2 linked regions of the Notamacropus eugenii genome follow. The main gene of each other region encodes a partner of the protein of the gene in region 2 in a complex. Links are inferred from orthologs where the notes say so. Each region holds a gene or a part of one and is shown on either strand. Other genes may lie near its edges.

Region 1 (3,745 bases), on a different chromosome or scaffold from region 2:
GGGGTGACTTTAGTCAAGTGGCCTTTCAATTCCTAATATCTCTGTCTCCCCTTCACAGACTTATCTCCCCCTTCACCCAACCAATTCCTTAATTCATTTTTCAATTATCACTACACAAATTTCAGGGCCCCCAAAGAGGACACCCTCAATTACATTAAGACCAGTCTTGAAGAGTGATAAAGGGAACCCTTGAGAATAGAGATTGATTTATCCTCTTCCCAAAGTTTCCTGCCATTAGAAAATTTGAGAGTGCTACACTTCGTATTGCCTCAATATCCTTCTCCTTTCTGTAAACTCCTGAGAGTTCAATATGTTCTCCCTTTAAAAGTGGTGACGTAGATTCAGTATTGAAAAAAGCAATTTGGTACAACCCCAAAACTGGATTATTTCACTTAATCAGAGCTGTAACTGAAGCAAAGTGGATAGGGCTCTTCTCCAGGGTGCCTTTAGAGGACCACTGACAACAGTTTGAGCTCTAAGGGCAAGACCAGTCCAACCTGACATGAGGGGCTGAAAAGGGTGGAGATAATGGGGTTGGGAGCTGAAAGGTGAGGAAGAGAGATAACTCCAGGGGAAAATGATGAGGATACTAGAAAAGAGGGACTGGGCTGTCAAGATGTTGGAAGGACTGGGATCAGAGGGAATGAGAAAATTTAGAGCTCAAAATTTAAAAAAAATAATGTTAAAAATTTTTAAAAGGAAAAATAAGTTAGCAAACACTTAAAAAAAGTGAGAGAACTGGGGAACACTGTGAGAAAGGAACCAGGAGATGCTAGGGGAAGAGGAGGGACCCAGGGAAACAGTGAGGTAGAGGAGCAAGGGCTTAGAGGACCCTGGGAAAGAGATGAGAAACTCCTCACTTGTTCTTTTTCCCCTTCTGGGACAGCAGCCAGTTAACAAAGTCCTGTTGCATGATCTTATCCATGGTGATGCTGTAGTCACTAATGAAGGTCCCCTCAGCATAGCGCTGTCCTCGAGCCCAAGGGCCACCAACTTTGGGGTGAGGCCTACAGTGTGAGAAGAGGCGACTCAGTGGGGCTGAGAGGTAAGAAATGATGGAAAATAGAATCAAGAGAGGATCAAGAAGAAGAGAACAGGGAACAGATCAGGGGGAGGGATAGAAGAAGAGAGGGATAGAAGATGAGAGAGGAAGAAAGGACAGGGAAAGCTATGGAAGGAAGGAAAGGAAGGTCAATAGCAATCAGGAGAAAAATATTTACAACAACTCAGGAAGACCCATTAAAAAACAAACTGAGCTCATTTTTACTGGCTATGTGTTTTCATGCCCAAATATCTTGTCAGAGATATGATATAGATGGAGTTTCATTCTCAACCCAGGGACTTCTCTCAATATATCACTTTGGTTCCAGTGGAAGCTGTGATATAGGCAGGAGAAATTAGAAGAAAGTGGGACCTCTCATATAGGTTCCCCTCCTCCCCTCATGTTGAATCACTCCCCTGAAACAAGAATCACTCTTGTTTCAATTGGGAGCTATAAGGAGTTGCTAAATAATCTCAGAAAGAAGAAAGTCTCTCAGCAGAGTATATGTCCAACTCCACTGGAGGTACTCCAGTTGAGTAAGTCAGGGATTTTCCTGATCACCTCTGCCACACTTCCATTTTCTTTCTTGCCTTACTCAGCTCCTTGATAGACAGTCATAATGATGCAGTCTATATAGACCGCCCTCCCCTACCCCCCCAAAAAAGTCTGTAGTTTATCTCTTTACCTTTGGAAAGGCAACTCACCAACCTAACCCATTCAAGAAATAGAAAATAGATGCTAGCTGAAGTTCTCCAAGAAGCGATATTCCAATTTTCCTCAGTCAGGTGACTATCAGACAATTCCTCCAAATGTCTATTCTCAATCTCCCTGCCTGCAGCCTAAACTCCACCCACCCTGGCCTCATCCTCTGAGGAAGAAGAATAGTTCAATTAGCATCCTTCAGAGACTTTTGCTAGACTACTTCCTTGGGCTTCTCTTATCTATGGTCACTAAATTCTCACTCTCTAAGCCAAATAGGTGTCTGTGAGGAAGCCCAAGATGGAGTCATACTTCCAGTCCTTCTCTCTACTCTGTCAAGCAAGAGATACCTTTACCTGAAGTGAGCCTCTTCCATAGCACTGTTCACTACTACCAAGAATAGAGGCAACAGCATCAGAGAAAAAGCCTTGACTTTCACCATCTTCTCAGTCCTGTTTCCTGAGACAAGAGAGAAGGGCTGTGATTTAACTGAGTCGAGCCGAGCTGAGAATGGGGTCAGAGTAGTAGCTATGGCCTTATGGAGGGGTTAGGGTAGAAAGGGCAGCAGAGACTGGACTAAGTCTGGAGTTTGGGGGATTTTCTGTCTGGATCTGTGATTTCACAGTGGTAGGCAGCTGTAGGTATAGGTGAAGAAACCACCATATCAGCAACTGTTCTGTTAATTTTAATCTTAGAGACTCATCTGGATCACTGAGAATTTAAGTGACTTGCTCAGGGTCTCACAGCCAATGTCAGAGGTCAAGGGTCAAAAGATCCAGAGACCCCAGGTCAAGATTACCCTCTGCCCCAAAGACTGCCATTTTTAGTGCTGAGAGAGATAGCATTATCTAGAGGGAGAGGGAGAGATGGTTTTAGGATTCCAGACATCCCCCAGTTACTAGATTCTATCTTATTCTATCTTATCCATTTCTTAGCCTTTATCACTCACCTTCTCTTCTGTCTTGCAGTTTTGTCTTGTAGTTAAATGGCACAGTGGATAGAGCACCAGGCCTCGAGTCAGGAAGACCCTAGTTCCAAATCAGTCTCAGACACTTATTAGCTGTGTGAGCCTGGGCAAGTCACTTAACCCTGTTTGCCTCAGTTTCCTCATCTATAAAATGGACCAGAGATGGAAATGACAAACCACTCCAGTATCTTTGCCAAAATTGTTGTTTTTGTTGTGTTTGTCTTTTGTTCTTAAAGAGGATCATGACATCAGGATGATGACATGACTTGCAGTTGACTTTGATTTGAGTGAGGGAGGGCTGTGCAAGGTCACCAGCCTTACTTTCTTCTTCTGAGCCATCTGGGTCCAGTGGCCTGATGCAATGTGAGACCCATGAGATACACCCATTCAATGAATAGGCTTCTTCTCCTCTCCTCCCCTCGCCTCCCCTCCCTTCTTATCCTCTCCTCTCCTCTCTTCTCCTTCTACCCAGGGGAAAGTTCCAAAAGCTGCCTTTTTTCCCTTGGGTTTACTGGTTACATTTCTTGCTCAAAGATCAAGTCTTAAACCAATTCACTCTGGAGCTCATAGACTGGACAACAAGTCCCCACTCACCCAGAATAGAGTGGATGTAATAACTAGATAGTAATTGTTTCTTTTACTCAGGAACCCTGAGGGTCTTCCCTTCCCGTTTGATTTTTTTTTCTTTGCCACAATAATAAACAAACAAACCCAGAGTCACAGAGACTTGAACATCACTGAAACAAACAAGCAACAAGAAGATAAGTATTCCTCTTACCTGCAAGTTTTTCCAAGTCTGCTTCTGGGAAATCTGTTGGTGGCTACGGAACTCCAATCCCTTTATATTCCCTAAATATAAAGGAACTGATTAGATTAAAAGCTTCTTATCACAAGAAGTCAAGCCCAGTGTTTACACTATCTCCAAGCCATTTACCACTTGGTAAACCTTCCTTTTCCACCTGAATTATACTAATTGGTCATTAACATTTGAGTTAATCTTGGAATGGCCTGGCCTCCACCTTTCCCTGGCTAAAGTG
Region 2 (3,745 bases):
CAGAATCTATTGACCTTGCCCCATAGCGACCAGCTCTCCCCTTCTTCCCCCCCACCCCAACACATACTCCATATATTTCCTTTCCAGTTCTCCCTAAGGAAGCCTGCCCTGGGCTGACCTTCCATCCTTGCCCAACAAATGGTCATCCTATCTTTGCTTGAAGATGTCTATACAGAGGGGACTCCACCACCTTCCAAGACAGTTCATTCCACTTTTGGACAGCTCTTCCTGACATGGAGCCTAGAAGTCCTCTCTTCTAGAGCCAAACAACCAGTCTGATCCATCATCCATCTAAAGGCCCTTGTGCTTGAAAACATGTCTGTCCTCCACCCTCACATATTTCCCCCCACCCATCCAGAGTCTCCTAAAGAGCAAAGCTGAGTCTCTCTTTAGACTGGGGGCCCTCTGAGGACAGGGTCTTGTCTCTCCTCTGGGACCAGTTACCTAAAGGAGCTGAGTATAATCAGAGCCAGCAACAGGGCAACCAGGGAGAGTGAGTACCCCACTGTATACATCAGTTGCAGCTTCTCCAGGATGAGCCTTTGACTCTGGAGGAAAGAAGACCCTCAGAGCTCAGCACACAGCCCTGAGATCAATAGCACACTTTCCCATGAGACATCGAGATTTTTCCAGAGTCTCCCTGAGGAAAGGGTAATAATCTCACCTGGAAGACCTGCTCTGTCTCTGGAGACACACATTGGGAATGGTCCCTCCAGGATCCCCACTGCCCGTCAGCCCCACAGAGACGCAGCACAGAGCCGGTGGTCACTATAGAGAACGTGGAAGACAGAGACCGGGCTGGAGGAGGGGTGTGATGTCAGGGTGGAAGGTGAGGTGGGGCAGAGACCCAGAGAGGCACCTGTAGGTACTAAGAGAGCTCACAGGGTCACAGATTTCAAGCTGGAAGAGATCTCTTCATTTTACAGATGAGGAAACTAAGGCCTAGAAAGGTTCAGTGACTTGATCAGGGTCACATAGTTTGAGGCAATATTCGAACCCAGGTCTTCCTGACTTCAAGCCCAGGTCCTTGTCTCGTGCCATTCTAGACAGAAATACAGAGATGTTCCCAGAGAAAGAGGAGCTCAGTATGAGTGTGTCAGACCTGGGGGTCCCTGAGCATACAATTCATTAGAACACGGAATAAGAGGCACATGGAGAACATCTAACTCAATTCCTCTTTTTACACAGGGTGAGGGGAAAGCTGAAACCCATGCCGGGGGGATGACTTTCCCAAGGTCCCATGGGGAGACAAAGACTTGAATCTAGGAAACCAAAGAGACTCAGATAACACCGAGAGAGTCAAAGAACCACAGAACCAGAGAAACACCAAGACATGGAGATAGCGAGTCTCCCACAGAGAGGAGAAAGGAGAGACACAGAGAAACCCCAAAACAGGTAGAAAAAGGGAAACTGAGGCAGCCTCAGACTCAAAGCCTCAAGAGATGGGCCTCTTTGCTACTCTCCAAAGGAGGGAATCCTCACCTTCCTGGTGCCAGGGCAGGTACCAGGGGCAGGGGGCACTGGCTGTGGTGTTAGGGGGTGAGTGGGGCCAGCAGGCATACATGTCGAAGGTTCCATTGCAGGCAAGGCCTGGGGGAGGAGGAAGCAAAGGAGGCAAAGATGTTCACTCCCAGTTCCATCTCCCAGGCTTCCCCAAGGAGGGTGGGGAGGAGAGAGGAAGAGAATATGGATTTGTGAAGGAGGTGAATTCTTCCCCTATCCTTCCCATAGACTCTAATGGCTGCTTTAACCTCCTCCTCCCTTCATTAGCTCAAGCATGACCCATCATATCCGTGAACTCTCCATACCATGGAATGCCCATCCTTGATGCTTTCCCCTAGGTCTGGACAGACTGGTCATTCCACCAATCCCTTCCTATCCTCCTCCTCCAACACATACATTTCAGTCTGCCTGAATACATCCACAGCCATCCCCCAGCACCCACAGTTGAGACACTTGGGGTCTTGTAAAGGCATCTCCATCAGCCTGAATAGTGGCCTGCATGCATTTGATCCTTCCCCCCAGATTCTTTCTGAGATTCAGACCAGCCCACTTATTCCATCCCTCAGGAGCCCCAGCTCACCTGCCAATGGTTCAGCAGCAGCTAGAGCCTCCTGGCACTGAGCCTGGTACTGCAGCCACCGACGGTAGGCCTCATCTGCTGTACTCCTTGGAAACTTGGCCTGTGGAGAAAGAACCCTCCTCCCCAGACCCCCAGGTGCACAGGAGAAGAGGAAGGGATCTTGGAATTTCTACCACAATTGGTTGTGAGGTTTAAAACCCTCTTGGAAAGCCATCAGAACCCATCCCATCTGCCCCATCCTCTATATCCTGAAATGTTCCCCACCCTTCTCCTATAGAAGATCTTGTACTTATCCCAGATTTGTAAGGTATCAGCAAGGGGTCAGGGGACAGGATTTGCAGGCTGATGTGAGAAAGGGAAAGGAGGTGGTCTAGAGTAGCCATCTAAACTGAGGGGTGTCTTAAAACCTGGAAAACTTGATCATGTGACAATTACTTGGGAATGAGGAGGGCATCTGTAAACCCACCATTAGTGGTCCTGGGTGTGTTTTCTTATCCCTCAGCCCCCTCCACCCCCAGGAGGATTTCTAAGCCCTTATGGCCACCTTACTTGTGCTTTCCACAGGACTGGATGGGACAGCAAGAGAATCAGGACAAGTGGAGATGTCAACATCACAGGAAGGAATCTGGCCTTCAGAGCCCACGGTTCCAGGAGTGCCTCGGAGCTTCTTTTAACAATCTTGTGGGAGGCAAGGTAGCATGAGACACAGATGACCTTGGAGCCAGGAAGCTCTCTGACACATCTTGGCTCTGTGACCCTGAAAGGTCACCTCATCTTAGGGCATCTTGGTACCTTAGTCTACACAATCTAGTGACTATTAAATTGAAGGGAAGAGCTAACCTGTTTTGGCAGAGGGAATTTCGTCACCTAGTAGCTCTCTATACCAATGAAAATCATGGATCCAGTCCCTATTCCTAACTACTCTGTGAGAACAATTGGGACAAAGCAAATAGAGCCACATTTTCTCCTTCATTCAGATGCCTCAGACACCTGGGTTCCTCTGTCCCTACCCCAATCCCTCTCTAGCTTCCAAAAGTTTTGAGATCTGAGGTGTTGTCAAGAAGGAAAGTAGTGGATGGAACCCCTCCCGAGGAAAGTGGGGGATGGAAAATATTATTACAATGCCCATTGTACAGAGAAAATGAAAAAAAAGAAAGAGGATTTCAACCCATTAGATCAAGCTGTTTCTGTGTTTTCCAGAAAGCACTTTGAGATCCATGGCAGAAATAGAGGATTTAGTTGATGGCTTCTGATCTCCCCTAACTTCTAAGTTATAAGGCAGCCAGGTAGAGTGCCAGTCTTCAAGACTCATCTTCCTGAGTTCAAATCTGGCTTCAGACACTTACCAGCTGTGTGACCCTGGGCAAGTTTGCCTCAGTTTCCTCATCTGTGATATGAGCTGGAGAAGAAAATGACAAACCACTCCAGTATCTTTGCCAAGAAAACTCCAAATGGGATCATGGAGAGTAGGACCCGACTGAAATGACTGAACAACTAGATAACTTCTAAATCATTTCCAATGCTTCCCCATACCAGACTGAGAATGAAGGAATGGACTGTTTGCCACCCCCCACCCCACCTCCCATTCCCTCCAAGAACTGTTGGCCTAGTCTCTATTTTGCCACATATCTCAACGTACTTTCCATTCCCCACCTTTCTCAG

What was found. Proteins that work in one complex are often made in the same cells at the same time.
Region 1: the proteins of GIPR (region 2) and GIP are in contact, whole or in part, in a cryo-EM structure (PDB 7RA3), measured with the Homo sapiens proteins. The link is inferred for Notamacropus eugenii from reciprocal best matches to the Homo sapiens genes GIPR and GIP. Residues at the interface, in NP_000155.1 of Homo sapiens: Gln30, Thr31, Ala32, Leu35, Tyr36, Trp39, Tyr68, Trp71, Leu88, Trp90, Arg101, Arg113, His115, Asn120, Gln130, Arg131, Leu134, Glu135, Leu137, Gln138, Tyr141, Tyr145, Arg183, Ile187, Arg190, Asp191, Pro197, Gly198, Pro199, Tyr200; in NP_004114.1 of Homo sapiens: Tyr52, Ala53, Glu54, Gly55, Thr56, Phe57, Ile58, Ser59, Asp60, Tyr61, Ser62, Ile63, Ala64, Met65, Asp66, Lys67, Ile68, His69, Gln70, Gln71, Phe73, Val74, Trp76, Leu77, Leu78, Lys81.

The regions. Positions count from the first base shown.
Region 1 is NC_092873.1:352,061,213-352,064,957, reverse strand, and holds the start of GIP (gastric inhibitory polypeptide), read right to left. Parts: upstream 2,195-3,745; 5' UTR 2,184-2,194; coding exon 2,098-2,183; intron 1,008-2,097; coding exon 861-1,007; intron 1-860. UniProt on the Homo sapiens protein: Potent stimulator of insulin secretion and relatively poor inhibitor of gastric acid secretion.
Region 2 is NW_027325105.1:183,206-186,950, reverse strand, and holds the start of GIPR (gastric inhibitory polypeptide receptor), read right to left. Parts: upstream 2,847-3,745; 5' UTR 2,696-2,846; coding exon 2,633-2,695; intron 2,184-2,632; coding exon 2,084-2,183; intron 1,591-2,083; coding exon 1,483-1,590; intron 769-1,482; coding exon 665-768; intron 549-664; coding exon 445-548; intron 1-444. UniProt on the Homo sapiens protein: This is a receptor for GIP. The activity of this receptor is mediated by G proteins which activate adenylyl cyclase.